Oreochromis niloticus: one gene and its partners. The protein of the gene in region 4 interacts with the protein of the main gene of each other region in a biochemical or structural test. Links are inferred from orthologs where the notes say so. Each region holds a gene or a part of one and is shown on either strand. Other genes may lie near its edges.

The links.
Region 1: of the proteins of cdkn1a (region 4) and dtl, one has a biochemical effect on the other in vitro, tested with the Homo sapiens proteins (3 studies listed by BioGRID, with this or other methods). The link is inferred for Oreochromis niloticus from reciprocal best matches to the Homo sapiens genes CDKN1A and DTL.
Region 2: of the proteins of cdkn1a (region 4) and skp2, one has a biochemical effect on the other in vitro, tested with the Homo sapiens proteins (3 studies listed by BioGRID). The link is inferred for Oreochromis niloticus from reciprocal best matches to the Homo sapiens genes CDKN1A and SKP2.
Region 3: the proteins of cdkn1a (region 4) and sex comb on midleg-like protein 2 form a complex in vitro, tested with the Homo sapiens proteins (2 studies listed by BioGRID and IntAct). The link is inferred for Oreochromis niloticus from reciprocal best matches to the Homo sapiens genes CDKN1A and SCML2.

The regions. Positions count from the first base shown.
Region 1 is NC_031980.2:13,633,524-13,640,587, forward strand, and holds the start of dtl (denticleless protein homolog), read left to right. Parts: upstream 1-4,064; 5' UTR 4,065-4,281; coding exon 4,282-4,333; intron 4,334-6,141; coding exon 6,142-6,279; intron 6,280-6,371; coding exon 6,372-6,464; intron 6,465-6,544; coding exon 6,545-6,606; intron 6,607-6,798; coding exon 6,799-6,919; intron 6,920-7,011; coding exon 7,012-7,064. Other genes in the region: ints7 (integrator complex subunit 7), read right to left, coding at 84-218, 306-423, 511-633, 723-922, 1,184-1,230, 1,335-1,472, 1,964-2,110, 3,007-3,136 and 1 more. UniProt on the Homo sapiens protein: Substrate-specific adapter of a DCX (DDB1-CUL4-X-box) E3 ubiquitin-protein ligase complex required for cell cycle control, DNA damage response and translesion DNA synthesis.
Region 2 is NC_031972.2:8,165,852-8,173,625, forward strand, and holds the start of skp2 (S-phase kinase-associated protein 2), read right to left. Parts: upstream 3,006-7,774; 5' UTR 2,854-3,005; coding exon 2,840-2,853; intron 2,247-2,839; coding exon 1,999-2,246; intron 1,908-1,998; coding exon 1,796-1,907; intron 1,409-1,795; coding exon 1,265-1,408; intron 1,056-1,264; coding exon 921-1,055; intron 595-920; coding exon 496-594; intron 405-495; coding exon 277-404; intron 1-276. UniProt on the Homo sapiens protein: Substrate recognition component of a SCF (SKP1-CUL1-F-box protein) E3 ubiquitin-protein ligase complex which mediates the ubiquitination and subsequent proteasomal degradation of target proteins involved in cell cycle progression, signal transduction and transcription.
Region 3 is NC_031986.2:36,477,358-36,484,523, forward strand, and holds the start of sex comb on midleg-like protein 2, read left to right. Parts: upstream 1-4,163; 5' UTR 4,164-4,320; intron 4,321-4,347; exon of another isoform or gene 4,348-4,449; intron 4,450-5,118; exon of another isoform or gene 5,119-5,223; intron 5,224-6,968; 5' UTR 6,969-7,059; coding exon 7,060-7,081; intron 7,082-7,166. UniProt on the Homo sapiens protein: Putative Polycomb group (PcG) protein. PcG proteins act by forming multiprotein complexes, which are required to maintain the transcriptionally repressive state of homeotic genes throughout development.
Region 4 is NC_031970.2:21,861,586-21,868,897, reverse strand, and holds cdkn1a (cyclin-dependent kinase inhibitor 1), read left to right. Parts: upstream 1-4,617; 5' UTR 4,618-4,759; coding exon 4,760-4,762; intron 4,763-5,097; coding exon 5,098-5,548; intron 5,549-5,633; coding exon 5,634-5,689; 3' UTR 5,690-6,804; downstream 6,805-7,312. UniProt on the Homo sapiens protein: Plays an important role in controlling cell cycle progression and DNA damage-induced G2 arrest. Involved in p53/TP53 mediated inhibition of cellular proliferation in response to DNA damage.

The DNA of each region.
Region 1 (7,064 bases), on a different chromosome or scaffold from region 4:
AAATGCACACAACAACAAATATTACCACACTGATTAAGAATTAAAAGCATCCCCCAAATAGGTTATTGCCCAGTTTAACTAACCTTTCTCCGGACAGGAAATGGCAATGTTGGTGAGCACTATGACCCCGTGAGCTGCTACTGCCAGGTTGCTGTGGTAACAGCATTCCTGTGCCAATTTAACCAGGTCAGTGAGCCGGGGTGGAACCAAAGAGCCACCTGAGAAGAAAAGTTTTAGAGAATGCAGATCAGTTCAGAGTGGCATTCTTTGTTTCCTAAATGCAGTGATTTAAGCATAAACATTACCTCCCACATTACTAAAATACTGTTTGATTGCAATAGTTCCAGAGAGGGTGGAGAGAACGGCCAACATCCCCAGCTTCAAACTGTTGTAGGGGATAGTCAAAGCACACTCGCACAGCATCTGCAGAGATAAAAGCTGTTAGATTGCAGACCGATTTTAAACATCACAACAACCCTACAGTGCAACTGTTGCCATCTGGGGCTCTACCTGAGTGTTTTCTCTTATCCACAGGTGAGGAGCCTTTTTAGCCAGGAGCTTTAAATCGTTAACTGCAAGTCTCTTCACAGCTTTTCTCGGATCATCTTTTAGGTACTGAAGGAGGAGCTGCAGCTGCAAACAGATTAGGAACCAAATCAGAGGTGCACCACAACAAACTAAAAGAAATGACACATAGCTGTGTGCGAGCAAGTTGGGTCTACCTGCTTGGGGATATCTATGAGGGAAGAGGCGGCCAGCTGGGTGAAAGTATGCAGGGAGACAATGACCATGGGGGTGGAAGGATAAGAGTTCACCAGATGCTGTAAAAGCTCTCTGCTGCTGGACGCCAGGCTGGCGTCATGATGCATGTGCTGCAGCATGGGGATCAACTTCAGCTTCAGTTCCACAGGAGTGTCTAAACCTGAGGTGGAAGAAAAGACCAATACAAACATTATGTAAAAGATGCAGTGCACGTGACAAATGTTTTCTTTGGGTTCAGCAAAATGTGTATTTGCAGTGTTTTGTGTTTCTTTTTCTCCGTGATTTCAGAATGAAAAAAAGAATAATTTTAATGGCTGTACTCAGTTTAGTGTGACAATTAAAAATAAAAGACATCAGTGACAATGAAGCTTTGAACCACGACAGCTCTCGTTTATCTTCACGTAAAGAATAAAGATCTTACCTTGAATCATCTCACTAACTTTGTTGCAAATTCCAGCTGCAAAGTCTCTGAAAATAAAAAATAAAAATTAATTAAAAAGCCACACAACAATAAAATCATCTAAAACATCATCCCATACATCAGAGCTCACTTTTAGTCATTGTTTCCTTACTTTGACTGTGCAGAGAAGCTTGCAGCAGCAAAGATGGCTGCCTCGACTTCCACATTGTCATGAGAGTCCAGGCTTTGGCGAATAGTGTGGTGGGCATTCTTCCTCTCTGGGATGATGGAGGCCAAACTACCAAGCATCCTGAACACATAAGACAGCAGGAATTTTCTTTTTAAAAATCTGAGATGACTGAAAAGATGGTGCACAACAAAACTGAAGAAGATAGTGCAGACAGGGTGGAGTGGATGGAGACTAGTATTGGGGTGATTTGTGACAGAAGGATAACAGCAAGAGTGAAGCAGAAGTTTTGCAAGATGTTAGTGAGATCTGCTAACATGTATGATGAAGATGTTACGATTCTTACAGAGAATGCACAGGATAGGAAAGAAGGGACAGCTCAGGTTGGGCATATTGGAGTAAAAGTTAGAGAGGCAAGGCTGAGATGTTTTGGACATGTGCAGAGGAATGACACTGGATACACTGCACAAAAGATGCCAAAGCCAGGCAAGAAGGCCACAAAGGAGGTTTGTAGATGTAGTGAAGGAGGACATGCAGAGGGTTGACAGAAGAGTGTGCTAGGGATAGGGTCAGATGCGCCACTCGCGTTTTTAATCATCATTTCACATTGTTACCTCAGAGTGATGGCTCTGGCCACAGGGTCATTACTGTGGATGACTGAAAACACCCGTTTCACAAACTCATCCACATTGAGAATCTTCTCCAAATGTTTCTCACTCTGTTGAGTCACTTTGAGTACACAGAGACGCAGAAAGTTGTTACTGGAAAAGAGAAATAAGATGTTTGTGGCACAGTAAAGCTCATCTTTAACTTCTCGCACCTTCTAAATACATCTTACCAACTTCAAAAACATTCTATTAAAAAGTGCATAAGATGCGCACATTTATTTATTTAGGCACTTTTGAATAAAATTAAAGTTTGAAAAATCCACTTAAGTAAGAATAGTTCTTATTCTTTCTTAAAGTGAAATAAATTCACTTTTTCCCCAAATCCTCTTATTTGGAACCTTCTCTCTCTCTTTTCCGTCAACTTTTTCCCTTTCTTTTTTTTCATGAAGAATAATTATAGTTTTTTTATTTTTAAAACCTTTCTCACACCAACATTTTTCCCTCTGTACTTACATCTATTCATACTTTTCTTAATTTTTTTTTTATTTTCTAAAGTAAAATAAAATACACAGATACTCCCTGAATATCTCACTACAGTTCAAACACAACACAATAACACATTAACAGGCCTGCCCTCAATGATCAGTTTACTGGGTATGCTTAGTTTAAAGTATCTTGTACTTTTAAAGATTGATAAACATCAAGTTCATTAGAGACATCAAAGACACGCAATTATTCATTAAATATAAGAAGAAAATCTATTATCTGTTATTTTTTGGTGTTTCAGAGTTTGTTTATTTTATTTTTGCATTAGCTTGGGAGTGATTATGTGAACTACATGAGTGTGCGAATAGTGTTTACATTTTCTTTTGACGGCTTAGGCTTGTGGTTAAACTGTACGCTCAATTACTTAGAGATGTTATTAAAATTTTCTCTACACTCTGAAATGCATTGGGATGCCTGTATTAGATTCAGCTATAAAGAAAGTGTGAAACAACTGTCAGTAAAGTAGCCTTTAACAAATAAATGATCATCTAAAGCAATCATACCCGAGCCTGAAGATGTCTGCTAGTTTTAAAAATGCAGAGTTGATGAGGATGGGAAATGGGTACTTCTGGAAGAGTTTGGGGAACAAAACCACAGCCTCACACTGCTCACCGAGCTTCCCCGACCGCAACCCTGAAAATAAAGTGGAAATGCTCCAGTCACAACAAAGCAGGAAGCTTCCACTTAACACATTACGAGGAAACGACACACCGGATCAGAACACAATCAATGAACCATATGCTAAGTCTTTAGCCAGCGAGCTAACACACCTTTGTCCAGCTCCATGAGAGCGGAGTTAGCGTCGAGCTCCTGTTCGCCATAACAAGCCTCTGACAGGAATGAGCGTGCGGTGGAGAGCGACATTACTGTGCAGTTTTTACCCCTTAAAAGAAGATACACTCATGAGATATTAGCATTTCACTGTTCAGGCGGTATTCAGGAAAACACTGAGGATACAGAGACAGAACATCCGGTCTGGAGATTGACTTTCACAATAAAACGCCAGTTGTCATGGTCGCGAGCTACCAAGCTGTTTTAGGGACTATTTATAAAATAGATTTACGTTAAATATCTACGTGAAATATGTATTAGTATATTATTCTAGTATCACCTTAGCATCAAATGATAGATTATGGATGAATCGGTAACACCATAATACTCTAAATAACAACAGTTACATTGGAGATATCATAGTCATGGTGACTTTTAAACCTTTGTTACTTTAGTGCTTCTGTTGAAAAGAACATTTTTACTTGTGATTTTCATAACTTTTGTTGCAGTCACAGATATTCATTTTCTAGTTCAACACTGCGCACAACCTGAAATTGTGTGTTGTCACACATACTTGCACCACTAAATGCACCATATACATGCAGCATTTGTTTGGCAGTGGTTGTATACAACAAAGTGTATTTACTAAACTAACAACTGTCTAACAGGATAAACATACTATGCAAAGAGGGGCTAGTTATTAGTTTAATCGTTTTAAAAAATATTTATTTATGCTGAAGGGGCGTCTCCTTCTCCAGTTATGGTGGGAAACTTTACAAAGAAAGCGGAAGCAGAAGCGCTCCTGCCCAGGAAGTCGCCGTTTCCACCAATGGTTGCGCGTAACGCAAGTTTAGCGGGGAATTCAGTCCTTCTGCTCGGACGATCTATTCGCGGGAAACAGTGTCCCGGCATCGGTAGGGAAAGCGGACCACCAGTAGCTAAACATCGAGGAAAACGTTACGTTTTTATACAAAAGCCTTAGGATCGAGTTGTGCTGCAGTGCAGGGATGCTTTTCCGCTCAGTGGTGGACAGAGGAGTGGGCAGACGGAGGCAGAATGGTGAGACAGGGATGGGTTTTTGGGGAGATCTGGGTTATCTGCACGGCCATGGCTGGGCTTTAGCTAGTCTACCATGGAAGATAATGCAGTCTAACATCTCTGCTTTATATTTGGAGGAGTCATGCTGCCAGGAGGGCTCCTAGAGTATCATTTGCACTTGCTTTTCTTTTGCGTTCAGTGTGGACTTTAACGTTTAACTCTACTTTCTTCGTGAATGTCTTTGTCGGGCTGTTCAGACTCCAACGGGTGGTAGATCAACAATATGTCCTGCCTTATACCTGTAGTACATATCAGGACAGTTTCTCACATTTTGATTGGCTTTGGTTTATACAACTCAAGAGCAAGTGAGAAGATGAGCGTGCCGATCTATGATCGTAGGTCACTTTATTAGGTACACCTGGCTAGCACTGGGTTGGACCCTCTTTTGTCTTCCATGCGTAGATTCAACAAGTTGGTTGAAGCGTCCCTCAGATATTTTGATCCATATTGACGTGATGGCATCACACGGTTTCTGCATATTTGTCGACTGTACGTCAACGATGCAATGTCCTGTTTTACCACATCCCAATGGCTTGAGATCTGGCGTCTGTGGAGGCCATTTGAGTACAGTGTGCTCATCGTCATGTTCAAGAAACCAGTCTGAGAGGAAGTGAGCTCCGTGACATGGTGTTATCCTGCTGAAAGCAGCCATTACAGCCATTAGACAAGGGTGTCACGTAGTAAAAGGTCACGTATAGATAAAATTGAAGTAGGCCAAGCTGCTGCAGACTACCAGACTAATGGAAAGTGGGAAGATGTTTGAGTATATTATGAAAATTTTAAGGATATGTATATAAAATATGAGCCTCACTGTTACCAGTCTAAATTCATTACACATACAGGTGATTATAGTAAATGGTCCCAAAAGAAAAAAACCTCAAAATCTTCTGGTAATTCAAAGAATACATCCTATTTTTTCCTGTTAAATAAAATAGGAACTTGCCCATTGATTCGTTTATAATGAAAACCCAGCTAATTTTCTGTTTTCTATTCATTTATTTTATTTTTAATGGTGTCTAGTGCTTATTTTGGTATAGTATAGCAGGTCAGGGGTGATTTGTTTGTTACTAAGAAGGCTGTAAAAATGACAATGAGTCAAATCTCTGGACCGTCAGTTTGGACTCTCGTGGCGTGATCGGTTCACAAGTACAAACCGAAAATCCACATTTAGGCATTCTTTGACATTTTTACACGGGCCGGTTGTGGCCCCTGGGCTGTATGTTTGACACCCCTGCATTAGAAGATCGGTACACCGTGTTCATAAAAGATGGTCAGCAACAACAACATGATACTCAGTGTGCCAAGAAAATACCCCCCACGTCATTACACCACCAGCAGCCTGAACTGTCGATACAAGGCAGGATGGATCCATGCTTTCATGCTGTTTACATCAAATTCTGAACTTATTATCCAAACATCACCGCAGAAATCGAGACTTTTCAGACTAGACAATGTTTTTCCAGTGTTCTGTTGTCCAATTTTGTTGATCCAGTGTGAATAGCAGCCTCAGGATCCTGTTCTTGGCCTACAGGAGCGGCAGCTGGTGTAGTCTTCTTCTGCAATGACTCCAAGGTTCAATGTGTTGCATGCTCAGAGATGCTCTTCTGCATATCTTAATTGTAACAAGTGGTTATTTGAGTTACAGTTGCCTTAATATCAGCTCAAAGCAGTTTGATGATTGTCCACTTAAATCTGCAATGATTTTTCCGTTAGTTTTACTGCTGTGTCTCATTGATTTCCCTCCTCTGACCATGCATCATTCTCTTCAGCTCTCCCTGCAGATCCCTGGTCCAGGTACCCTCTGAGCTCCCTGCTTGAAGGCTACCGATGTGTCCGACATGATGAACATATCTCCTATGGGAACTTTGGCGACTCTGTGCCACCGTTTGGATTAGCTTTCTCCTCTGGTAATTCATTTGTGCTTATCATTGTGAGTGCAAGGACCTGTTATCATTAATCTGTCTAACTGCAGTGTCTCGTTTCTGCTGTTTGTTTTCAGCCAGGGACCAGCAGAACATCCTCGCAGTAGCTAATGAAGAAGGCATTGTTAGGTTCTACAACACAGAGAGCCGTAAATATCCACTTCTTAAAGGTATTCTTTTGACTTGTGTTCATAATTGTCATGTCATGTATTTTGAAATGTCGGTGGCTAAATGTGTGTGAACCTTGCAGCATGGCTGGCTCATGAGAATGCTGTCTTTGATATCGCCTGGATGCCAGGGGAGGCTCAGTTAGTAAGTGCAAATTTATTCTGTTTAGTCAGAGAATTGCAGAAAGTCAGATCTTTATGCGTCACCCTCAAATGCATGACTCATGTAATTCCATCTACCTTACTAATTTTTCTTTTTGTTCTTTATTTTGTTGGAACTCATTAAAAACTCTGAAGCCTTTTCTTATTATGCTTTGGTCATCTGTGATCTCTTCAGGTAACTGCTGCGGGTGACCAGATGGCCAGGCTCTGGGATGTGAAGTCTGGAGAGTTGTTAGGCAGCTTCAAGGGCCACCTCTGCAGTCTTAAGTCTGTTGCATTTGCACCAGAGGAGAAAGGTATACCTTTTACTGAGCTAACACCGTGTTGGTTGTGCATTGATGATATATTGTTGTATCATGTGATTAATACATTTTCTTTTGTCACACAGCTGTGTTTTCCACTGGAGCCAGAGATGGAAATATTATGGTCTGGGACATGAGA
Region 2 (7,774 bases), on a different chromosome or scaffold from region 4:
GAGAAATGACACAGACACACGTCAGACACTGTCAGAATGATCAACTCAAACAATCTTTAAGATATAGATCTATATCTAGATCGATCTATCCATATACAGTTTTCACAAACTAATTTCACTTCAGCAGTACGCACCCTCAGTGTTACTCTTCAAGCTGTCAAGTGAATCATAAATTACTGTATCATTATGCAATTTGTTATGTGTTACATCATTAAGGACAAACCAGCTGTGTTTGTTAGTGTTGAAATCAGTGACTTGAAGATCTCCACCACTCACCATTTAGGGTGAGGCTCTCTCTGTAACCGCTGAGGTTGAGATGTGTAACACTAGAACTCAGATTATCAACGACGCTCTTTATGTGATTATTATCAAAGGTGCACCATGATAAGTTCAGCTGTTGTATACTGAAACACAAAATCAGAGCATGAGTAAATCTGAGGAAGAGGAGAAACTGAAACTGTGGTTACAAAGTGAATAAAGGACTGAGCAGCTGACCGGGAACAGGATTTCAGCATCCTAGCGAGCGCAGGAGCAGAGAAGGCGGAGCAGCCGCTGAGGTTGAGCTCCTGTAGGCGGGTGTTCTTTGCCAGACAGCTGAGTGAGAGAGAAAAAGAGATTAACAAATACACCCAAACATGAGCTCCAAACACACAGTACAGATTTAAGCTGAAACAGATTCAGAAAATGCATTTACTGAGAAGAATTTAGTGCTTTGCCAGTTTACAATCAACAGTTACAGCACGACTTTTCCACCTCTGATGAGGCTCTGCTACAAACAGCATCACTGACATGTTTCCCTCAGCATCTGAGGTCATGAAAAGCTCAGACATCTTTTTGAGAAGAGAAAAGCAGCTGCAAAGACACTGGGAATCAGTGACATCCCTGCTACACTAATCAGTAGCAAATAGTTCAGATCTCACCTGATGATGGTGTCAGAGAGCTGCAGACCCTCCAGGCTCAGACATTCTAGCAGTCTGCAGCGACAGATGAGGTCTTCCAGAGCCAACGTGGGTATGACTGAGTTTGACAGATCCATTTGAACCACCTGCAAAGAGCTGGATAATGGAAAAGAAAGAAAAGAGCATTTTTTTTCCACTTAATAAGTGCCACAGAACTTAATACTTAATAGAGCTCTGTGGTGTGGAGGAGAATTAAACATTAGACATTAGATAGTTTTCATTAGATTTTCACAGGCAAGGAAAACTCAGAGTAAGTCTTCCAGTGAAGAAGAAAATCAGGACACACCATGATATATGTGACTAACCCTCTGTATGTCAAGTGCAACTCTTCCACAAAGGAGCGAGGGCAGCGCAGTCTGCGGATGCCAGTCCTCAGCACCTGCTGCAGAGCCAGACCAGTGTGGGTCATCCCCTCTAGATCCACACTGTGCCACAGAGACTCGTCAAACCTGTGATGAATGGACAAGCAAAGAGGTGTCATGGAGGCAAACCCCTACAGAAGCCTGCAGTAAATAACCTGCACACAGCAACCCGTTCTGTTAAATGTGAATGTGGGTTTCCATTGTGTGTGTCATTGAGAATATTAAGCAGCACAAACTCGTCTATCTACCAGTTTGTCAGAATTTAATACTTTTGAATGTAGCCACAGATTTCCATATTTTTGAATACTCTGATAAGTGTCACGAGTTTAAACACACAGATGTGAGAAAGAACCAGAGGAGTGGTTTGAAGTATGCAAACTCAATCTTTAGGATCCGCCCCGCACTTAAAAAAAAAAAAATTTCAAGCGGGAAGAAGCAGGGCCAGAGATTTTGTTAATGATCATTATGACTCACGCCAAACGTTGCCAGCGCTTGCAAACTACAGATATTCTGACGAGGTCCTGGAGAGGGAGGCAGAAGAAAATCCTAAGAACAACCTCGTCTGGTAGTTGATCCCATGAAATGTCTGCAGAGGGAAGGAGAAAGGGGGAAAAAAAGTTAAGTTGATCACAGGTGAAAGTCCTCATCTTAAACCTCAGAAAACCATCTCCTCCTACTTGGTGAGGGGTCTTTCCTCCTTGATCTCCTGCCAAGAACAAATTGATTGCTGTCATTCTCCTTCCCCTTGCTGAAGAGCCGCTGTTTCTTGCGCGGTGGTGTGAACTGCAGGATGAGATCTGTTGGGGTCCACTCAGTGTCCAGGCCCTCGCTGAGAATGCCTCTGGACTTGCATTTGTTGCTTTTCTTGGGCTGAGTCAGCATGGAGTCCTGCAGACTAAGGCAGGGACGATCCTGCAGTGGGACACTGTTGGAAGCAGAAGTTAATCAGACATGTGGGCATGGTTAAACAAGGCTTCATCATGCTGTCTTACACGAACACCCCACAGAAAGGCTACTTAGCGGCCTAGCTTCCTCTAAAGAACCCCTCCATGCCCGCCATATTGATGTAGCTACCAGCGGTGTGACCGCGCAAACTGACTGCAAAACCAAACGACAAACACTGTCTCCTGTCTTTCAGTACACAGACACATGCAGGTGGTCCAGGACGTCCACTCCTGCTCCGCGGTTAGCTTACAGTGTGTACCCCGGGAAGAAAAGAGCCGCTGACAGGCGTGGAGGGAAAGCGCTGGGGAGAAAGCGCGCTATCGGTACAGTTTACACTAACTACGCTAAGACGCCGGCGGTTTACCGAACACACAATTTCGCATAATTCCGCCTTGTTCACACCGCTTTAGAAATGGAAAGCACAGTTTTGAGTTGGGACAGTTAAACAGCACCAAGCTAGCCTTGGGATGGCGGCTCATTTTCACATGTGCAACACATCTCAGAGATAACTTATGCACCGCTATACCTCAAATATTTTTAGTAACAGAATGTAAGAACCACTGAGAACGATACCTGTCGCCTGGCATTTCCTTCAACTCGAAACAAGTGCGATCCTACACAAAAAGTGCAAGACTGTTTGGATCGCAGCCCTCCAACCGAGACTCTTTAAATTCGCCGCCAACACTGGGGCGCCCTCTTTTCGTTACGTCACGGACGTGCCTGCACGTACATCGCGTTACGTCATACGCATTAGGGATTTCGCCAGGTGGCAGTTTTTTGAGTATATATGCAGTAGAGTTATGTGCCATATTATTGGCTTTAGAACGGGTGGAAGACATAATTTCAAAAGTAATAATAGTGATTCATTGTTAGCATTGTTAAGTATTGAAAAATCGTAGATTTTGTGTGTGAACAAAGCAAAAATATAGTAATAATGTGGACTCCCGCTCATATAGGTATTGTGGGTAATGAAAGAGCAGATAGGTTGGCCAAAGAAGCTATTAAAAAAGTAGATATTGATATGCAGATACCGTTGTCGAATTCTGAAGGGAAACGTTTGGAAAGAAAGTAAGAATTTATGGGAAATGGCGCGGGGTAATGAAGTAAAAGGGAGACATTTATATAAAGTACAAAACAGTTCACGTTACAAGAAATAGAGGTGTAAGTAGGCAGGAGGAGGTAATTATAATTATACGTAGAATAAGAAGAGGTCATTGTTTTCTAGATGGCACTCTTTTTAGGATGCGGAAACATCTTACTGGTTTATGTAATCGGTGTAATGCTCTGGAAACGATTGAACATGTGCTTTTTAGCTGCAGGAAGTATGTCAGTCAAAGGAGAATGTTGAGGGTAGAAATGGGTAGTACTACCGAACCCAAGTTTGAAATGGTGGTTGATCAGTTGAGTCATGATGAAGGGAAAGGAAAGACTTTGTTTTTTGAGAAATACTGGACTCATAGTACGCGAACTGCGCGTACTCCGAAGCGTGCGGTCGCCGGATTGGGACACAGCCATCAACAGGATCTAAGGGTATGGAAGTGATGTAGCAGTAAAACCCAGGAGATGGCAGTAGTACAACATCGTTGGATGCAAGCTGCTGTTATAAATGAAAGAAGAAGAAAAATTGTATTTTTAAGGCAGTAGGTAATAGGTCCTGATTATTAGCAGGTCTTTTTCCTTAGTCGTGCTTTAATAAAGCAGGGAAGCACTTGTGTTACCAACTGGGTCAAAAGACGTATGAAGTAAGATTAGGGATGTGTGCGACTAGTCGACTAATCGCGCTATTGTCACTAGTTGGTACCAAACTTACTAGTTGTTGTCCTAAATGTTATGCAGCCATTTGCCACCAGACGGTTGTTGAGAAACACCATACATAACTTAATATAGCCCTGATCTTTTTGCTATTAGAATGACACTGCAGATACAAATGGCAGAAAATAGCTTTCTCCTAAAGGTGGGCTTTCCCTTAGTGACAGGGTTCAGAATAGAGCCACTATTCTTCCACATCAAAAGGAAACGGCTAAGGCTTTTCCCGAATGGATAAGGTTTTCTGGCCAGACATGTCCTACTGGGAGGAGGCCCCGGTGCTGAACCGGGACACCCTGGAGAGATCATATCTATAGGCTGATCTGGGAAAGGCTGGATGTGTTCCCGGATAAGCTTGGAGGAGGTGGCAAAAGGGAGGGCTTCCCTGCTGTCCCCACGACTGACTTCAGATAAGGGGAAGAAAATGGCTAGATGATTTATTGTTTTGTGGTTTTAGATTTTAACTTTTATCGAAACGATTCTCAAATTTAACTAAATATCTGAGTGTTTCTTACTTTTAGACTAGTCGGTTAGTGTAATTTCTCAATTAGTTGAGTAAGAAATTAGTAGCTAGGAACGTTCCTAAGTAAGATCATTTTTTTACTATACTTTTCAGGGTGTCTTTGAATTCAGCACTTTGTAGGTTAATCATTTTCATTGCCATCAAACCGTGTGGTATTTTTTGGTTCCTAACACATTACATCCACATCAGTATAGATGTAGAGGCAGCATGATTTTTTTCTCATTGAGATCTAAGGTGTTTTCAACGTGTTCCTTTATTATTTATTTATTTGCTTTAGTATGGATGAAGTTTATGAACTGATGAGCCTCTGACACTAAATCAGATTAATGCATTCAAACAAATATTATTTTAAGTTCTTTCTGAAGAAGTAAATTATTTTGAATTTGAATAACTCCTATAACACCAGAGAGTTTCAGGAGGCTTCACCAGCAATATTGGACCAAAACATGACTGTAGAAAGCATCTTTTATTCAGTTATAGGTTTTCCGTGTTTAATGACTCAAGAGTGAGCATGTTCGAACCAGTTTATTTGATATTATGTAACATTCATTGTAGCTCAAGAGGTCAGAATTGTGCCATTTTAAAGTGTTGATATTCAACACTATTAAAATTTTCAGCGACTGATCTTATATGATATACTTATGTAAACAAAGTTGGCTTTTTTCCATTCAATTAAATTTAATTTAAATGGCACCAAATCGCAACGTTGATTGACGTTAATTAATATTAACAATAATTCAGTGTCCAACCTAACAACCATCAGGTCAGTGGCCAAGTGTTTTATTGCCCCATGTGTGTTTTATTTATTTTTTTGCTTGTACAAGAGCTTTTATTTTTATATTTTAAATATTAATGCAATTTATATTATTTCACTTTCAATCTAAAAATTGTTATGAAAGCCTTGAAATTAATATGGTCTAGTATACATCATGCCCTTCTTTACTATCACCCCTGTTCCCTTCCATGTAAAATAGGACAGCTGCTGTCAGCCATGATCAAGCTGTATAATTTAAACATAGTATCAGACTAAGTTAATAGTTCATCTGCATATTTTAATACAACTTTTTGAGACTTACTGGAGGTTTTTCTCTGAGTAAAACAGATGTTGGTGGATGGAACAGCTATAAAGTTTCCTTTTCTTCATGTCAGATGAAGGACTCCCGCAGCTTTTTACCAGATGACCAGTGCTTACCTGCTTACCGCTCATTCTTCGTAGTGAATCCTGTTTGGTGTGCCAGCTGGAAGTCCATCCCGAATGTTTGCCTAATCTACTCTCTCACACGCTCTTCAGAAATATTCTGGATATTCTCTAAACCATACAGGCTCAAATATATACATGTCTCCCACTAATCCCCTTCTTTCGACTTCTCCCTTTAGGGGTCGCCGCAACATGTCATTTGCCTCCATTTCAGTCTGTTCCACACACACATTTCAACCTATTTAAAGTTATTTATGGTAAATGGTAAATGGCCTGTACTTGTATAGCGCTTTACTTAGTCCCTAAGGACCCCAAAGCGCTTCACACTACATTCAGTCATTCACCCGTTCTCACACACATTCACACACTGGTGATGGCAAGCTACATTGTAGCCACAGCTGCCCTGGGGCGCACTGATTTATCCATCTAACAGTGTCTCAGAGGCTGTCTGTGATTTTGAGTATGGATATATAAGTATGGGAAGCACAAATATTTATAGTTTGGAAAAAATGATGTAATTCCACCTCAGGTCATATGTGCGTACGCTGTTATTTATAACTATTGACCTTTCTCCCTCGTTCTCACACATACACGCAGTTGTGCACTAAGGTAACAGTCCCAGACCCTGACAATGACTGACAGGAGGGACAAGGTGTGTCAGATTTTCAAAATAAAACTTTCTTATTGGAAGACTAGTATGCTTTAAAAATGTGAAATGTTCAAAATAAAAGCCCTCAGTTACAAAAAAAAAAGTCTCTGTGTATTTTTTTAATACAAGATAAGTATGTTTTTAAAAGAATGTAATTTTGTGACCCTAACTTACAGCAGACAATACATTGGATCAAGTTTGGGCAGCAGCAACTATCCCTAACTATTATGCAAAAAATTACATAGTCTAGTGAGCACGGTTCCACACTCTGAGACTGGACAATATCTTGGTTTGGTTAATAATTTTGATGCATACTTAAGAATATTCCAAACTGACAGGTTTTTCTAAGTAGTTATTTCTTGCCAAAACCTTATCCTGATTCAGAAAGTAACATCCAACTGCTGCAACTTTTTCATATGATGAAATTCCTGAAGCTACAATAGTGGTTCCATTTCTATTGTCTTCACATGTGCTCCCCAGACATAGCATTTTAATTTAAATTATCATTGTTATCTAAGTGATACAATTGTATAACTATATTTGCATATTCCCTCAGATTGATATCTTTCTATGTGTTTGATCCCTGTCCTGTTGATAGGTTTGTGATTCAGTGGTAAAGAGCAGATGTCTAGCTAAACAAACCGAGACACATGTAGCAGATCTGAGTTTATGTCAAGATCTGCAGCAGCAGATGGTGTGGAGCAGAGAGTGAGAACACAAATGCAGACAATGGAAGCAGGAAGTAACTTGAACAAAAGACAAACTGCTTATTCAGGCTGATTGACAAAACACAAAATAAGAAATCCAACTAAACACATGGGACATAGAGACACATGGGTAGGTTAACAGACGCTCCAACAAAGGAAGACAGAGAAAATAAATACGCTGAGGGGTGACAAGGGGAGTGGAAACACATGGGACCCGAGCAGGAACAAATTAGATGTAAAAAGGCAGGGGAAGTAAACTGGACATAATTCACATGAGAAAAGGATTAACAAAATAAAACAGGAAGTTTCACAAACTTGACACTAGGACGGGGATAAGCAAACACAGGAACACACGAGAGGCTGAGGAGTCAAGGATGAAACACAAAGAGAAGAACAGGTAAGGGAGACGAAACACAGAGTCAGACAAGGACAGAGAAGGAGATCCATAACATAGAGACAAAACACTCAGGACATGATAAAGGGAAACGCTAAACAACCTAAAATAAACCTTAATCAGTCGAGATAAAACATAATCAAAACCAGAAACAAAGAAAACTAAACTAGGAAACATAATCAAGATCAAAACAACAATAAACAAACACAGAAAAGAACTATGACAGTTTAG
Region 3 (7,166 bases), on a different chromosome or scaffold from region 4:
CAAAGAAAACAGGAAATGAATACTAAAACACTGGAACATTAACAAAACACCAAACATAAACCACGACTCAAATAGATAAACTTAGCATCTAAGATATGAAGTCAAGATCCTATCAGGAAATCCCAGAGGCATGACAATGACGACTGAGACCAGGAAAGGGTCACAATTATACAGCAATACCTCAGAACTTCCAAACCCTTATATAAAAATCATTAAAAATAAGCTAAACATTAAAAACTAAACACTATGAAGTTTAAAGTGTGAAGAGGTGAACAAGAAGTCCTTGACTATAATTTTGAAGAAGTGGCTGGGAAGTGCAGGTTTTGGAAAATTATATTACACAATGGAGTCTCGGTGATGTAATATACATTACTACTCCACAGACTAAAGCCTCATCTCTTCTGCTGAAGTTGTAACACTGAAATAGGAACACTGTCTGTATTGCATAGATTAGATCTGCACCTGCCCATACCTGTATTCACACAGAACCTGCAAAAACAAGGTGGAGTTTAAAAACCTCACCTTTCTCTTTGCATCATATCTTTTCAATCAGCAAACCACACCCTTTAAAATTCCTTTGTCATAAAAGGTGGTTTTCTCCCCCAGCCACCAGTGAGAACAAAGTCCATATTAACCGTGGAAATTATTCATTATTGTTTGAGTAATTCCTGTATTTATTACGTCAAAGACATTGAGCATGCCTGCATTGGGCAGTTATTTCCCTGTAGCAAATAAATCAGTTGAACAGTTTTAAATGTGCACGCCACGTCAGATCAACCAACACGATCGCTTCTAGTGCAGTTTTTTAATCCCGACTGAATCAAGTTTAACCCTCTTGGGTACAACATTGATCATAAAGGAGAATGAAAACCCACTAAAATGTATTAAATTGCACAAAAAATATGCAACCTTTCAATGGAAAAATGAACACCCACCTACATCTGCTGGGATAATGAGCTAGAGAGAGACACAGTCTCAAGGGTACACCTTGAGGTTGTTTTTTTTTAAGATGGCAGATGTTTTTCTAACATTTTGGAAATGAAAGTGATCAGGTTCTTCTTCCTTTGTATGAAGGCATTTTAGAAGAAGTTTTAACCAGAGCCATCGGAAAACACCACCATTGTTATTATTATTTTATATTTTTTCATGCAAACTTAGATTACTCCTATATAATACATGATTTTATTTACCTACAGTATAAAAGAAAATAAAGATTTCAAATAAGGTAACATAGACTTAATTCTTGGCTTGACTTACATGTGTTTGAACCCTTAAAGAACCCTTTCAAACCAGATAAATTATATTTTAAACTTGAGTTTGTCAGCTTGGAGGAAAAGTGAAGGTAAATTTGAAAAACAAGCATAATTACCCATGTAGCAGTAAGGTCTTCTTAAATGCAGGATCATCAGATTATGGAACCACAAATCATTGATAGAGTCTAACTTTTCCTTTTTTCATTAACTGGACAAATACAGAGAGAGCTGCACCTTACTGGAAAATCAAAAATAAGGTAAAACTTTGCATAGGTGCATTATAAAAAACACTCCTGATCTAATAGGGTCTGGCGAGAGCTTAAATGCAATAAATGATATGCAAAAGGAATATGTATGTTCTCACATTATGAGAGTAAATCTTGGGAGTTTCCATTTTCTATATGGGTACTTCAGTTTCCTCCCACAAAAACATCCTTACTGGGTTAAATGGTAATTCTAAATCGGTTGTAAGGGTGGTTTTGTGTCTCTCCATGTCAGTCTTGGGATGTAATGGTGACCTGTCCTGGGTTTTAACCTTGCTCCAACCCCCCTACCCGCTTCCAGAGCTTTCAAGATAATGTTTGAATCAATTTAGTTATTATACTGTTTGATACTTAAACACTGAGTGGCTGTTCTGCAAAGTTAAACAACTGTGAGGCCACTGTTGGTGTAACTACTATAACAGGTGCCCTCTGCACATCTGAGGCAAACAGCACCATTTCACCAGTGACAAATAAGGATGTGAAACTTCTATAATTTTCTGTGTCACAAACAACTTCTTTCCTACTGAGAACTGAGCTGAAAGTGGAAAGATTCCTGGCATTAGAGAGACTTTTTATTTTTTTATCAAATGACAACTCCTCCAGTGTTATTTTTTTTAATGTTATTAAAAAGGAACATGTCTATAATTACTTCACAAATGATTGACACTTTTCAGTATTTGCTCTGTTTGGTCACTGCAAACAGGAATCTGCTTCGGTCTCCACAATTCTTTTTACAATACTTAACACTTATATTTATGGGTAGATACATTTTTTTTAAATACAACTTTATTTGAAAATGTTTTATTTCAGAAAACACAGAGAAAGTGGAGCGTTATCCCTCCACACTTCCTGTTTATATTGGAAAAGAAAATGCAGAGCAAGTGAAAACAAACAACCACAACCTCAGCAGTTGCTCCACTTAAGTGGAATTTAAAAAAAACCCAAACTCTATTACAGTGATTACAAGCTAAATTTTGGTGTGTATGTTTAAGAAAATTTGGAAAAGGGAAGCCTTACAAGCTAAAAACTACATGAGTGTTAAAGGCCAATTTTAACTAATATTTTTGTCATTTATTTCCCTTTTCTGTCAAGGAAACATGGAACTCTTAAGTCAAAATGCTTTAAATTTTTTTAAGCTCTCATACATTTAACCAACTTAAATTGATGTGGAACAGCCACATGTGGAACAGAGAGCAAAATAAGGATCCTGAACTTTAAATCTGTGATTCTGCAACAATATAAATGGACTAGAAGTTTAACATTTTGGGGTGGAAAAACTTTTAAAATCCTATTTGGGAGCAAAGCAGACAAACTTTTTAAGTGTTTTTATCTGATTTGACTGGCGGTTCCAGTGACATCAATTCAATTTAGTTAATGCTAAAGATAGAGGCCCAAATAAGTCAAGATGGGTACTAAGTGTCCAAGCTTGCATCTAGAAGGAAAATTGATTAATATCCACCACTAATATGGCAAATGCATGTTATTATCAGTTAACAAAGTCAGTATGACCAGATGCTACAATACTGGTGCATCCATACTATATTAAGTGGTTTTAATGTATAAAACCATCATATTTTGCCAGACACTCATTATCTTCTGAATATTTCAGCATAAAAAACAGTTAATTTGAATGTGTTTTGTCCCCTAGCACCACTTTTTTCCACTGTGGTAATTCCTGCTGTAGTGAATCCAGATAAAGACAGGAAACCAAAGCATTCTGCCTGAGGCTTTTTGCCTGTTACATGTGTAATATACAGAAAATTCAATGAATTTGGGAATGATGAGGAATGATGTTTAAAACACTTCAGGTTGTTTGTCGTCAGCTTTGTAACCGGATCTCTCATCCAATTAGAAAATTAATTTGAAGAGAATTAAATCCCTTTGATGGGGATAGCTGTTTTTAAGAAAGTCTTGGATATGGCTTGGATGAAGTTTATCAGAACATACTTCTTTACACTTAAATTAAGGGATTTTTTATTTATTTATTTTTATTTTTTTTATTTTTTGTTAGATGAAAAAAAAATAACTTGACGCTCCTGATCTGGAGTTAATGAAGGAGAGAAAAAATCTGTGGGCGGGGGAAAAACAGTGAAGACGGGACAGTGACCGTAAGTCATACGCTTTTTTTCTGTGATGACGCACTACTACCCACTTTAAGTGAGAACAAACCACAACCACTTTACACAGTTTCACTAACTTAAACAGTTTTTATTTAGGACGGGGCTTTAGTTCTGCTCCAAATTTACTTATTGCTTTTCATCATATTATATTATATTATATTATATTATATTATATTATATTATAATACGAATTTAGCCTTTTGCATGAATTATTTTTCTTTTTACTATTTTTCTGTTCTGTACTTTTGGCCTTACGTATTTAAAGACCACACCACATATCTTACATTGTTTATTTGAGGCGTTTTCTTACATGTTTACAGTCTTTCAGATTTGAACCACAGCTGGGGGACACAGGAGAAAGACCCTGTAAAGAGGAAGGAACGCTGAAGTGGATCACTCATACAAGTTTTCTGAAGCTGAAACTACAGCCAGTGCAGTCCGGATTCTTATTGGACGAATTATTTGAGTCTTTGCCTGATTGGCTACTACTGTGAGCAGCAAGCGAATGCATTGGCCCAGTGAACTACTCCTCCTGCAGTCAGCCCCCGTGTCGTAGCTGTCCTCTCCTCTCAGCACAATCTTTGGCATATATTACGTACGTGTAAGGATACACTACATTCGTGAAAAAATGGCAGCTGACGAATAGAAAAAAAGTGGATCTTCAGTCGAAAAAAGAAGGCACTTGTAAGTTAATACTTCAGAATGAATGATTTGGAGTTTGGGGAAATTATCCGTGGAAGCTTCTCAATCCTGCCTACGTGCGATTCTCTCCGATAATGTGGAAGTAACTGTTCTCAGAGGGTTAACGCTAAGGTTAGCCAACCTAGTTATTAGCCAGCAGCGGTAGCTAGCATACAAGCAGTTCCAGTTGTCAACATTGGGCCTAGACTATTACCTGAAACCGTTAATGTTACGCAACAGAGAGCAGAGATGCATCATATATCATATATAAATCATATATGCAACAGTTTAAAACTCGGCGTTATGATAAATTAATTAAATTATACCTTCCTGCCTCGATATGTAGCCTCGCTAGCTGTTACAATCCAAGTTAACATTAGAAGGATGGTGGGTGAGGCGACATAACCAGCTGATTTGAGAGTAAAAATGAGAAAATTTACTTCTGGCTGTTGGTAATTATGAGGTTATAAATGTAGGTATTGTGAATAATAACCTCTTGGGTCGATGTAACGTTAATTTAGCTCATAGGCGGGGCGTTATTAGCGTCATTATAATAGGCATTCAGCGTGGCTAATATTACCTTAATGACTGAGACCGTGTTTCTACTGTAAACTTGAGGGGAGGGCACGCAGTTTTTATTTGCTGACCTAGAACAGCTGTTGTGCTTTCTTTATACCAAACTCACTAACTTACGGGACTCCTGGTGTTGGAGTTAGTTACATTTTACAGATGTTTTGGAAATGAAAATGTGGGAATGTACACAAAGTTGCAGACTGTGTCGTATGGGCTGTCCCACCACAGGCCCGGTTGTAGCTGAACCTCATGAAAAAAACCCACCCTGTACGAGGCTTCCTGTCTCCGTGGGAGTGACCCATTACTGGAAAACCACAATACTACGCGAAAGAGGTTCTGATGGTTTTTTACTTTACGAAAAAAGGTTGACTTCCTTTTTGCTAACCACAGTATCCTTTGTCTACCTTCATACTTTTACTATGTGGGCTATTTTTAGGGGCATCTCCACTATTCCTTTAAAACTATAAGCTCATGCCTGACCTCCTCAGAATCAAGTTTTTTTTAGCATATTAAATGCAAAATGTCAGTTGAGCTGATTAGTAACTTAAGGTCTGCTGATGTGAGGCCCTATTCAGATGCTGGCATCTCCTCTCTGTCTGAGATGACTGTAGATGTAAACAATTGTAAATGATCTCACATAAAAAGGAGCATAATGAACTAAAAGCTAATATTTAGAAGTTTAATTTGTTCCAACCCATAAGCAGCAGCTGCTATGATTATTTCAGCAGGCTGAGGAACAGCTGGAATTAACATCTGCACATTAGTTCTCTAAAAGAATAACACAGGGCATGGTTAATATAGACAGAGACAGACTCTCGAAACCTCAGAACAAAAGCCGTTCAGCCTTTTATTGTGTCAGTTCACAAATACTGTTACAGTCAGTGCCCACAGAGTAGCTGCAGTAAAAAAAAGATAAAGATAATTAAAGTTAATATGCACTGAAAGAAAAGGTCTCACCCTCCAGTCTGTCTCAACCTTAAAGGTGCACATATCATGGAATATTATTAATAACTGCTCAGTACTATTACACATATTGTACTTAACAGGTAATACTCGCTTTCAGTTCCCTACAGCCAGTTGGAAATTATGCAAATGAGGGAAAATCTCTGATGGATCAAGCAGAAGTAACAACTATTTATCGATACGCTAATCGTGTAACTAAGAGAGTGAGAGGGAACATCACAGCACCAAAAAAGGCTGCTGCAACAAACCTGAGCTGCACAGAAATTGAGATTGGATGGTAGAGATTTAAGAAAGCGTTACGTGAAATATGTGCCATGTGGGCTCTACCTGTTGCCTTGCCCTGATTTCATGGCTGAATACCTTCACTCACTCCAACATGGATCTGTCACTTCATGTTGATAATGGTGGCGTTACCGCTTCGAGGATCAGGAGGATTCATGTTTGTTTTTTTTGTTTTTCTTTCATTCTGCTGTAAGGGATGTACCAATCAAGATTTTCATTTTCTGATATCACTACCATAGATGTGGGTATCTGCTGACACCAAATACCTATCTGATACCCGTGATCAATAAATAACCTGCAACCCTGACACTGAGGAAGACTGGGACCATTCCCAAACAGTAAAAACCTGACCCCCAAACTGCTGACCGTTCTTCCATGCTGTGTTAGCTTCTTCTCGACGAAGAAGATGTCATATTTGCCAGATATTCAGTCCAGATACTAGATTGGTGCATTGTTTATTTTCTCTATTCGTTTTTTTTAGAGGTCTGCAGGCAGTCGTCTGCATTGCTTAAATACCCATAATACTTCACTCTCTGTAGCCAAATACCTGCACAAATAGATTTAGAAGGAGTGTAATAAATCAGGCTTTAGTTGTCCATCCCAGTTTCTCATTTGCTAAATTGCACATCTTTTATTCCTCTCTTTGAGTCTTATGCTACGTGCCATTTGAAGTGGGAAGTTGGAATTCCGAAATTCACAATCGGAATTTTCAGCTCAAACACTCCCTCGAGTGGGATGTTCTGGTTTGGACAATTTGCCTTGTTGTTATCTCAATATTTTTAAGGCGTTTCTGTCTTGTTTCTGTTCCAAATAATCAATTTTTGTGTTTTCAGGACAAACTTTCAGAGAATACGGAAACAAGTCGGGTGATCATCTGGCACCTTGTTCAACACCATAAAAGTGCCACATTGGTCATCTGTCATCATGGGGAAAACGCCGCTAAAAGGCAAGGACCTCTTATTTGTTTGAGGAAGCTGGTACTTGTGCTTATACAAAATGTAAAAAACAGGGTTTTTTTTCATAATGTGAAA
Region 4 (7,312 bases):
AAGGAGCTCAGTTAATTAATAAACTTAAATCAACTTAGCTAACAGATTATGTTAGTTAAGCTAAAATAGATTCCTAAGTTAAAAGAACTACTAAAGTATTTGAATTAACTAAAAAACCCAAGTCAACTGAACTAGGACAAGAGTTTAAACAATAGATTATTTTAATTTAGCTGAAAGGGTTTTCCCAAGTAAAGATGACAATTAAAGGAGTTGAACTGACTAATAAATCTCAGTCAACTAAACTAAGATGAAAGTTTAGACAACATGTGATTTTTCATTAAGATAACAATTGGTTGTGTTATAAGAACAAACTCTATTTCTTGACTTAACTTAAAATTTTAAGGCAGCCCTTTACCTCATATTTTTAAGTTGAAACAACAAGTTATATTTTACAGTGTATGTATAGTTTATTACTGTCTTGTCACTGCTGCTAGTATAAGATTGGGTTTATTCTGTAAAACTTGAAGATATTTTATAAAATAATTCTGTTATTCTTTTTAGTTTATTATGTCAAAGTAAGTTGCACTCATGGGCCACTTCTTTAGTTACATTAGTTGCCTTAAATTTCCAATAAGCTGACTGATTTTGGTCCATATAGAAAACAAAACCAGATACATGGGTAGATTTGCAAATCCATTATGCAAATGTCCCGTTTCACCACATCCAATGGTGCTCTATTGGGCTGAGATCTGGTGACTGTGGACACATTGGAGTACAGTTGTTCAAGAAACTAGTTTGAGATGATTTGAGCTTTGTGACATGGTGCATTGGTCAGCAGCAATACTCAGGTAGGATGTGGTGTTTAAGTGATGCTCAGTTGGAACTAAGGGACCTAAAGTGTGTGAAGAATATATCCCTCCACATTATTACACCATCGACAGCAGCCTGAAGTGTTGATACAAAGCTGGAGCGTGGATCTATCCATTCTTTCATGTTGCTTACAAAAAATCCTGAACATACAACCTGAATGTGGCAGCAGGAATCGAGACTCATCAGACCAGTTTTTTAGTGTCCAGTTTTTATGACTCCATACCAATTTAAGCCTATGTTTCCTCCTTTTGGCTGACAAGAGTGGTACCCTGTGTGGCCTTCTGGTGCTCTTCCTCCCCTCACCTTCAACCGGTTACAGCAGATGGTTGTCCCTCCCTCAGCCTGCTTCTGTCAGAGGTTTCTTCCTGTTAAAGGGGAGTTTTTCCTTCCCAGAAGCACTTGCTCATGAGGGGGTGGGGGTGTCCTCTAACTGATGGGGTTTTCTCATATTACTGTAGGGGTTTTACCTTACAATGTAAAGTGCCTTGAGGTGATTGTTGTTGTTATTTGACACCGTGTAAAGAAACAATTTTAACTGAACTGAGTTGAATAACTTGAGTATAACGTGTGGTTATGTGAGTTTATGTTGCCTTCCTATCAGCTCGAAGCAGTCTGTCCATCCTCCTCTGACATCAACAAGGCATTTTCACCCAGAGAACTGCTGCTTGCTGGGTATTTTCTCTTTTCTGGACAATATTGCAAACCCTGGAGATGTTTGTGTGGGAAAATCCCAGCACAGCAGCACTTTCTGAAATGCACAGACCAGCCCATCTGGCACCAAATTCCCTTAAATCACTTTTCTTCCCCGTTCTTATGCTTACTTTAAACGTTACCAGGTAATCTTCACCGTGTCTACACATCTAAAGTTGCCGCCATATGATTGGCATATTAGATATTGACGTTAACAGGCTGTTGAACATGTGTACCTAATGAAGAGGCCGGTGAATGCTGTCATATATAGAAGTGGTCGATACATATAGTGAGTTTTTTGGGGAGGGGGGGGCTACCACAGGAAGGATATATTTAAATTGGATACAGGTACAAAGAGCGCATGAGTGAAATTACCCAGTGTAGTTCCATTTACTGTTTACGAGTTTCTCCACTTTTACTTCTACTTTCTCCTTCGCTGCTCTCTGCTCTGTGATGCCAACAGAAACCGAAACGTCGCGTGAGCTGTTTTAGAAATGGGAGGAAGCAAACGAGATGTGTCATTGTGATGTATCCTGGAAACGGGACAAGTACAAACGCCGAAGCGCTCTGTCATGCGCACTGAGAAGCAGGGAGAGACGGGGAGGGGAGGCTGAGCTGGGCTGTGTCCTCCTGAGCTGGAATTTCCTCTCGTCTTCGACCCGAGCCAAGCTTCACGTGTGCTCATGTGTTTACCGGGCCAAATCCACGTGTGCGAGTCCCCCGAGTCTCCGCCTCTGGAATGGAAAGGAGGGTACCCGTCCACCGGAGCTCATAAAAGTTTAGCAGGAGTCCGTGTCTGTAAGAAATCTTAGGAGAAAGTGTCACGGAGAAGTATTTTCCTGTGAATCTGTTGGGTTACATAGCATCAGCCTCGTCCGTTTATTTACATCAGAGCTGCTGTGAAGACTGGAAATCAGAAAAACAGCGAGAGAAGGTGGATAACAGTCAGTTTTCCCCCAGCAAGTTTGAAAAAAGGAAGATTTTTTGTCTTTGAATTAAAATGTAAGTAAAACTAAAAGTTTGAATTTTTGCGCTTTGGTGGTTTCACTTGTGATTGGCCTGTTAGTGTATACAAGTCTAAAAAAACATCGCTGTTTACATTATATGGCTAAACAACCTGTAATGTTATAGGAGCTACTTTTAGTTTCAGTCCTACCTATATGCTTTATCTTTTTTTAATTTTCATTATTTATTTATATATTTGTTCGTTTAATCCCATAAATTACACGTTTCCATGACTACCTCCGTCCCCGTGCTGTTGTTGGGTTTATGTCTTTTAGCTGGTTTCAGTGTATCAACTCAAAACTTTACCAAAGCTTCCCGCACGGTTGTTTTTAGGTGTGTGTGGTTGTGGTTCGTTGGTGTGCAGAGGTGGTGGTGGTGGTGGTAAGGGCTCCAGACAGTGACAGCGCAGTTTGGCCGGCCAGCACGAGCTGCAGCCTCACGTGGACCTGTGTAGTAAACTGGGCAGGGTCCGAGCCGGTTCCAGCGCCGCCCGTGCATGACTCGTTCTCCCGCCACTCGCTTGAATCACTCCGCCCTCTCCTCTCACGCCGCGTCATACGCGTGACTGAGTGGATGGAAATGGGAGGGTGTGAGGAGGATAGTGGCTACAAGCTGTGTGTCCACCCTCTCCCAAAGTGTTTCAGTGTTTCTGATGTTTTACTTCATTCTGGATGAATTGGATTTATTTTGGGCTCCCCAGTTCTTCCCAGTGTAAGGACCCCCACCCACCCCTCCCTGACCTTTGTGCTTGCAGGTCCACAGTTATGTAACAGTGGGTGGGAAGGGGAAACAGTCTGTGCCACTCTGTAGGATCCACCCTGCCTCAGTGGCATTTTTCAGCAGGTGAGGTTAATATAGTAGTAATGTAGTAGTAAAGTGCAGGATTTGGATTTATCCAGCCATTAGTGCTGTGCTATCTTGTATTGATCCACTATCACCGATACCAATACTTTAAACCTATAAAGGGGAGAACAGTGTGTCTTGATTTGTAAGGTGAATCGTCATCTGTTTAAATGTGTGCAAATTCTGAACACATTTTAACTTTCAGCTTTTTATGTGTTCTTAAATTGTGTGTGTTTGTTTGTTTTTTGAGAACTGGGATATATATCTAAAGCAGTTTGAGTCAGCTTCTGTTATTTAAATGTGCCATAGGTTATAAATAAAATACACAAAAAAGGTTCAGACATTTTTATCGCCCGTAGTATCGATGCAGTACCAATACCAACTTTGGTATCCATCCTATTGATATTTCAATCAATCTGTCACTTTGCATTACTTAATTTATGTAATATTATCAAGAGACCTTTCAGTTTTTCTCTCGTTATTCCATCTGAAAGCCAAAGCTGAGCGGGGACATCAGTGAAACCAGGAGCAATAGCCTGGCCCTTCACATCAGTAATAAACTACTGGGCACAAAGACACAAGCGCATTCCTATCAGATGAAAAACTATATATGAGCCTGATCTTTGGGCAATGTGTGTTAAAGTTTTGCTGTTGTTGTTTTGTCTCCAAGATTTCGTTGAGCTTAGAATGAATGAACTGCAAACCTTGGACAGTCGCCACATTTGTGGGATGATGTAACAGGCCATGTTTTAACAAGATTTCCAGCCAAGTCATTTTAAGGACTGTGTTTATTGTAAAGCTTTGTTGAAAAAACTGGACTTAAGGTGCCAGTGAACAGTTACCAGGTTGTGTTGATGGATTTGCTTCTCTGCCTTATCTGGATTTCTCTTCATCGTCATTATTTTCATCATTTCTATAAAAACTCAAATCAGAGTGACCTCTCCCCCTCCTGCTGTTCTCAGCTGGATAATCATGATGGGAACCGCTTCTCATGATTGTTCCCTGAAAAGAAAATCCTGGGAATTCTGCCCAGTCCTTCCCGGATGGCCTTAATGACATCCACCTGAGACACACCTGATTCCTTCCTGTAGCCTTCGCAGTAAAGTGTTTGCTGTTTGTATGTAAGTCCCGTCCAGATCAGCAGATGTGGAAATAGGATTCATAAGTCACCGCCTCGGATTTTTACTCTGCAGGGGGCCTGATACTGCCACCTGGTGGTGATTCTCGGTGTTTGCGCTCTCGGTCGCTACTTAGGACTTGTCCTTACATGTCTGGTTGAGATTATGCCCTGGCATGTACCAGTGATTCAGAGAGAGGGAGGAGCGCTCAGTGAGTCACTGCCTTAGTATAAAAAGCTGCCCAGCGAGACCAGTGTGTTAGTTCACTGAGGAGCTTTACGCTGGTTTGAAAGATGGTAAGACAGATTTTTACTTTCATACTCGAGGCAGTATCAAGTAACTGAGATGGATGCACTTGTAATGGATTACAGAGCTCATTTTGCTTGGTTTAGAATAAGACTGGAGCTGAGGTTCCTCTCCTCCAGAGAAGTCACTGCATGTTTTACTTGTGCAACATTTCATCAGCACTGAGTGTCCGGGAGGATTCGTCTAATCGCTGGAGATGCTTAATTAATGGAGACAAAATTAACTTTCAAATATGCCATGTCTGGTTTATTATTGTTGCTACTTTTTAAAGCAAAATGCCAATCAGTGTTACTGTAACCAGAGATCTTCTCTCTGTTTTCATCAGTGTAGAGTGATGGCTTCTCACAAGCGAATCTTGGGGGTACTGAGAAAAAGACCAGCCCGGAGAAACCTGTTTGGGCCTGTGGACCGAGAGCAGCTACAGGTGGAGTACCAGGCCGCCATGCGTAACGACCTGGAGGAGGCTTCAAAGCGGTGGGGCTTTGACTTTAGCTTGGACAAGCCTCTGGAGAGCAGCGATTTCCAATGGGAGGGTGTCCCGAGCACTAGGGTGCCTCTGCTCTACAGGTCCTGTATGCAGGGTCTCGGACAGGCTGAAGGCCACAGGTCAGCAGAGACAGTTACTCCCAAGAGAGGAAGGGTGGAGACGGCACAGAGCGAGAAGGAGAACATCCCCGGTATGCCGGAGAACTGCATGCACGGCCGGGAGATGCTGGAGAAAACACCGGAGAAGGGCGAGAACACCGGGCTGAAGAGGAAGCAGACGAACATCACAGGTACGTGTTCCAGCTGAAAGCGAGAAGTCTCGTCATTTCACGTGAGAGTGCACGAGCTTAAAATTCCTGCACTTTATCCCAACAGATTTCTACCAGGCTAAAAGAAGAGTAGTGTGGATGCCCCGCAAATCCGGCGAGTGATATTCGGTGGAGAAACGCCAATATTCCAAGAGAACCACCCAGACAGGGCCACGCTCAGGAATCACACGTCCCGCACAGACTCTGGCCGTGCACCCAGGAGGGACCTCAACCACACGTCAATACAAAACAGTTAATTAGGGTACTGCAGTCACTCTGAGGAGATTGGTGTTTTTTTCCCTCAGTGGCAAGAATGCGACATTTGAGCAGAGAAGATTAACAGTAATCTCTGGAATCAGTGGATTTACACTCATTTGGGGGGGGGGATGCCAAAGTGTTGCCCGACTGCACATTCAGCCGCACTGAAAGGACAGTCACATCCGCTGGAGATGTGTCCATTAAAATCATCCAGTCTGATCATGTTTTTAAGGTGAGAAGACAAAGCTCTTTGGCTCCATAGTTCAAATCCATGATTGTTTTTCTACAGCATTTTTTCTACATGTGTATCACAAGGGCTTACCAGTCATCTTCTTTTTTTTACTGTCTAAAGTATGTCATACTTTTTATGTCCAGCTGTACACAGTGCTTTTATCGACAACCATTTAATCAAAGGAAGATGCTTGAAGAGTTCTGACATCTCAAACATGCAGTTGCTTTGCTTAGATTATAAAAGACAGAAGTGCCATCATGTCCTCTTCCATCCTTTTCCATCTACTTTACATCAGCTGATTTTTGATGTCCTTTGACAGCCCGATCCAGACTCTGATACTGATAATGTTGGCTAGGAACACTAAAACACTTTTATTTAGTTATATATGTATAAGAGGTATATCTATAAAGTTAAATATGGTATTGTCAGGTAGCATAATCATTTAAACTGCAGTGTTGCACATAAACACCCAGTATCAAGTGCCTTTACTGGCATTTGTTTTTGGTATTTAAAGCTCCTTCATCAAAAGCAAATGTATTATTTAGTAAGCTAAAATGACACATTTATTATTTTCTATTCACCGTGCAATCTAACTAATGATGTGTTTTGTTTTTGGTTTTTTTGCCTTAATTTGTTCTTTTTTTCCCCCTCTTGGCACTTATTTATGTCTACATTAGCAAATTCTGCTGCTATGGGTAATATGAATGGGTGTCGAGCGACGTCGCTGTGACGCTAACCCTCACCAACAGAGAGCTTTGAAATGCTCCGAAGCCGAGAAAATAAGCGAATGACCCCAAACAATGATTGCACTTCTGTTTGTAGATGCTTTCCTCTGTATTGTGTTTTGTTCAAGGCTGCAAGTGAAAATCTCTGTACTTATTTATTGTGAGATACGATGTCATGTGTTAATTTAGGTTTTGTTTAATTATTATGAAATCCAATAAAATGGTCAAATGAACCGCCTTGTGTCTTTAATGTGTCGTCACTTTACTTTTAAGTAGCAACGGTAAAACTATTACTTAGTTTGGCTGAACCCTTGCAGTGTTGTATCACAGTACAATTTCTCCATTAACGCCATTATACAATCACTAGCCACTTTATTAGGTACACCTCGCTAGCACCAGGTTGGATCTCTTTTTGTCTTCAGAAGTGCCTTAACTCTTTTTGCACAGATTGAACAGGGTGCTGGAAACAAACCTCAGAGGTTTTGGTCCATGTTGACATGAAAGCATCACACAGTTGGTGCAGATTTGTCA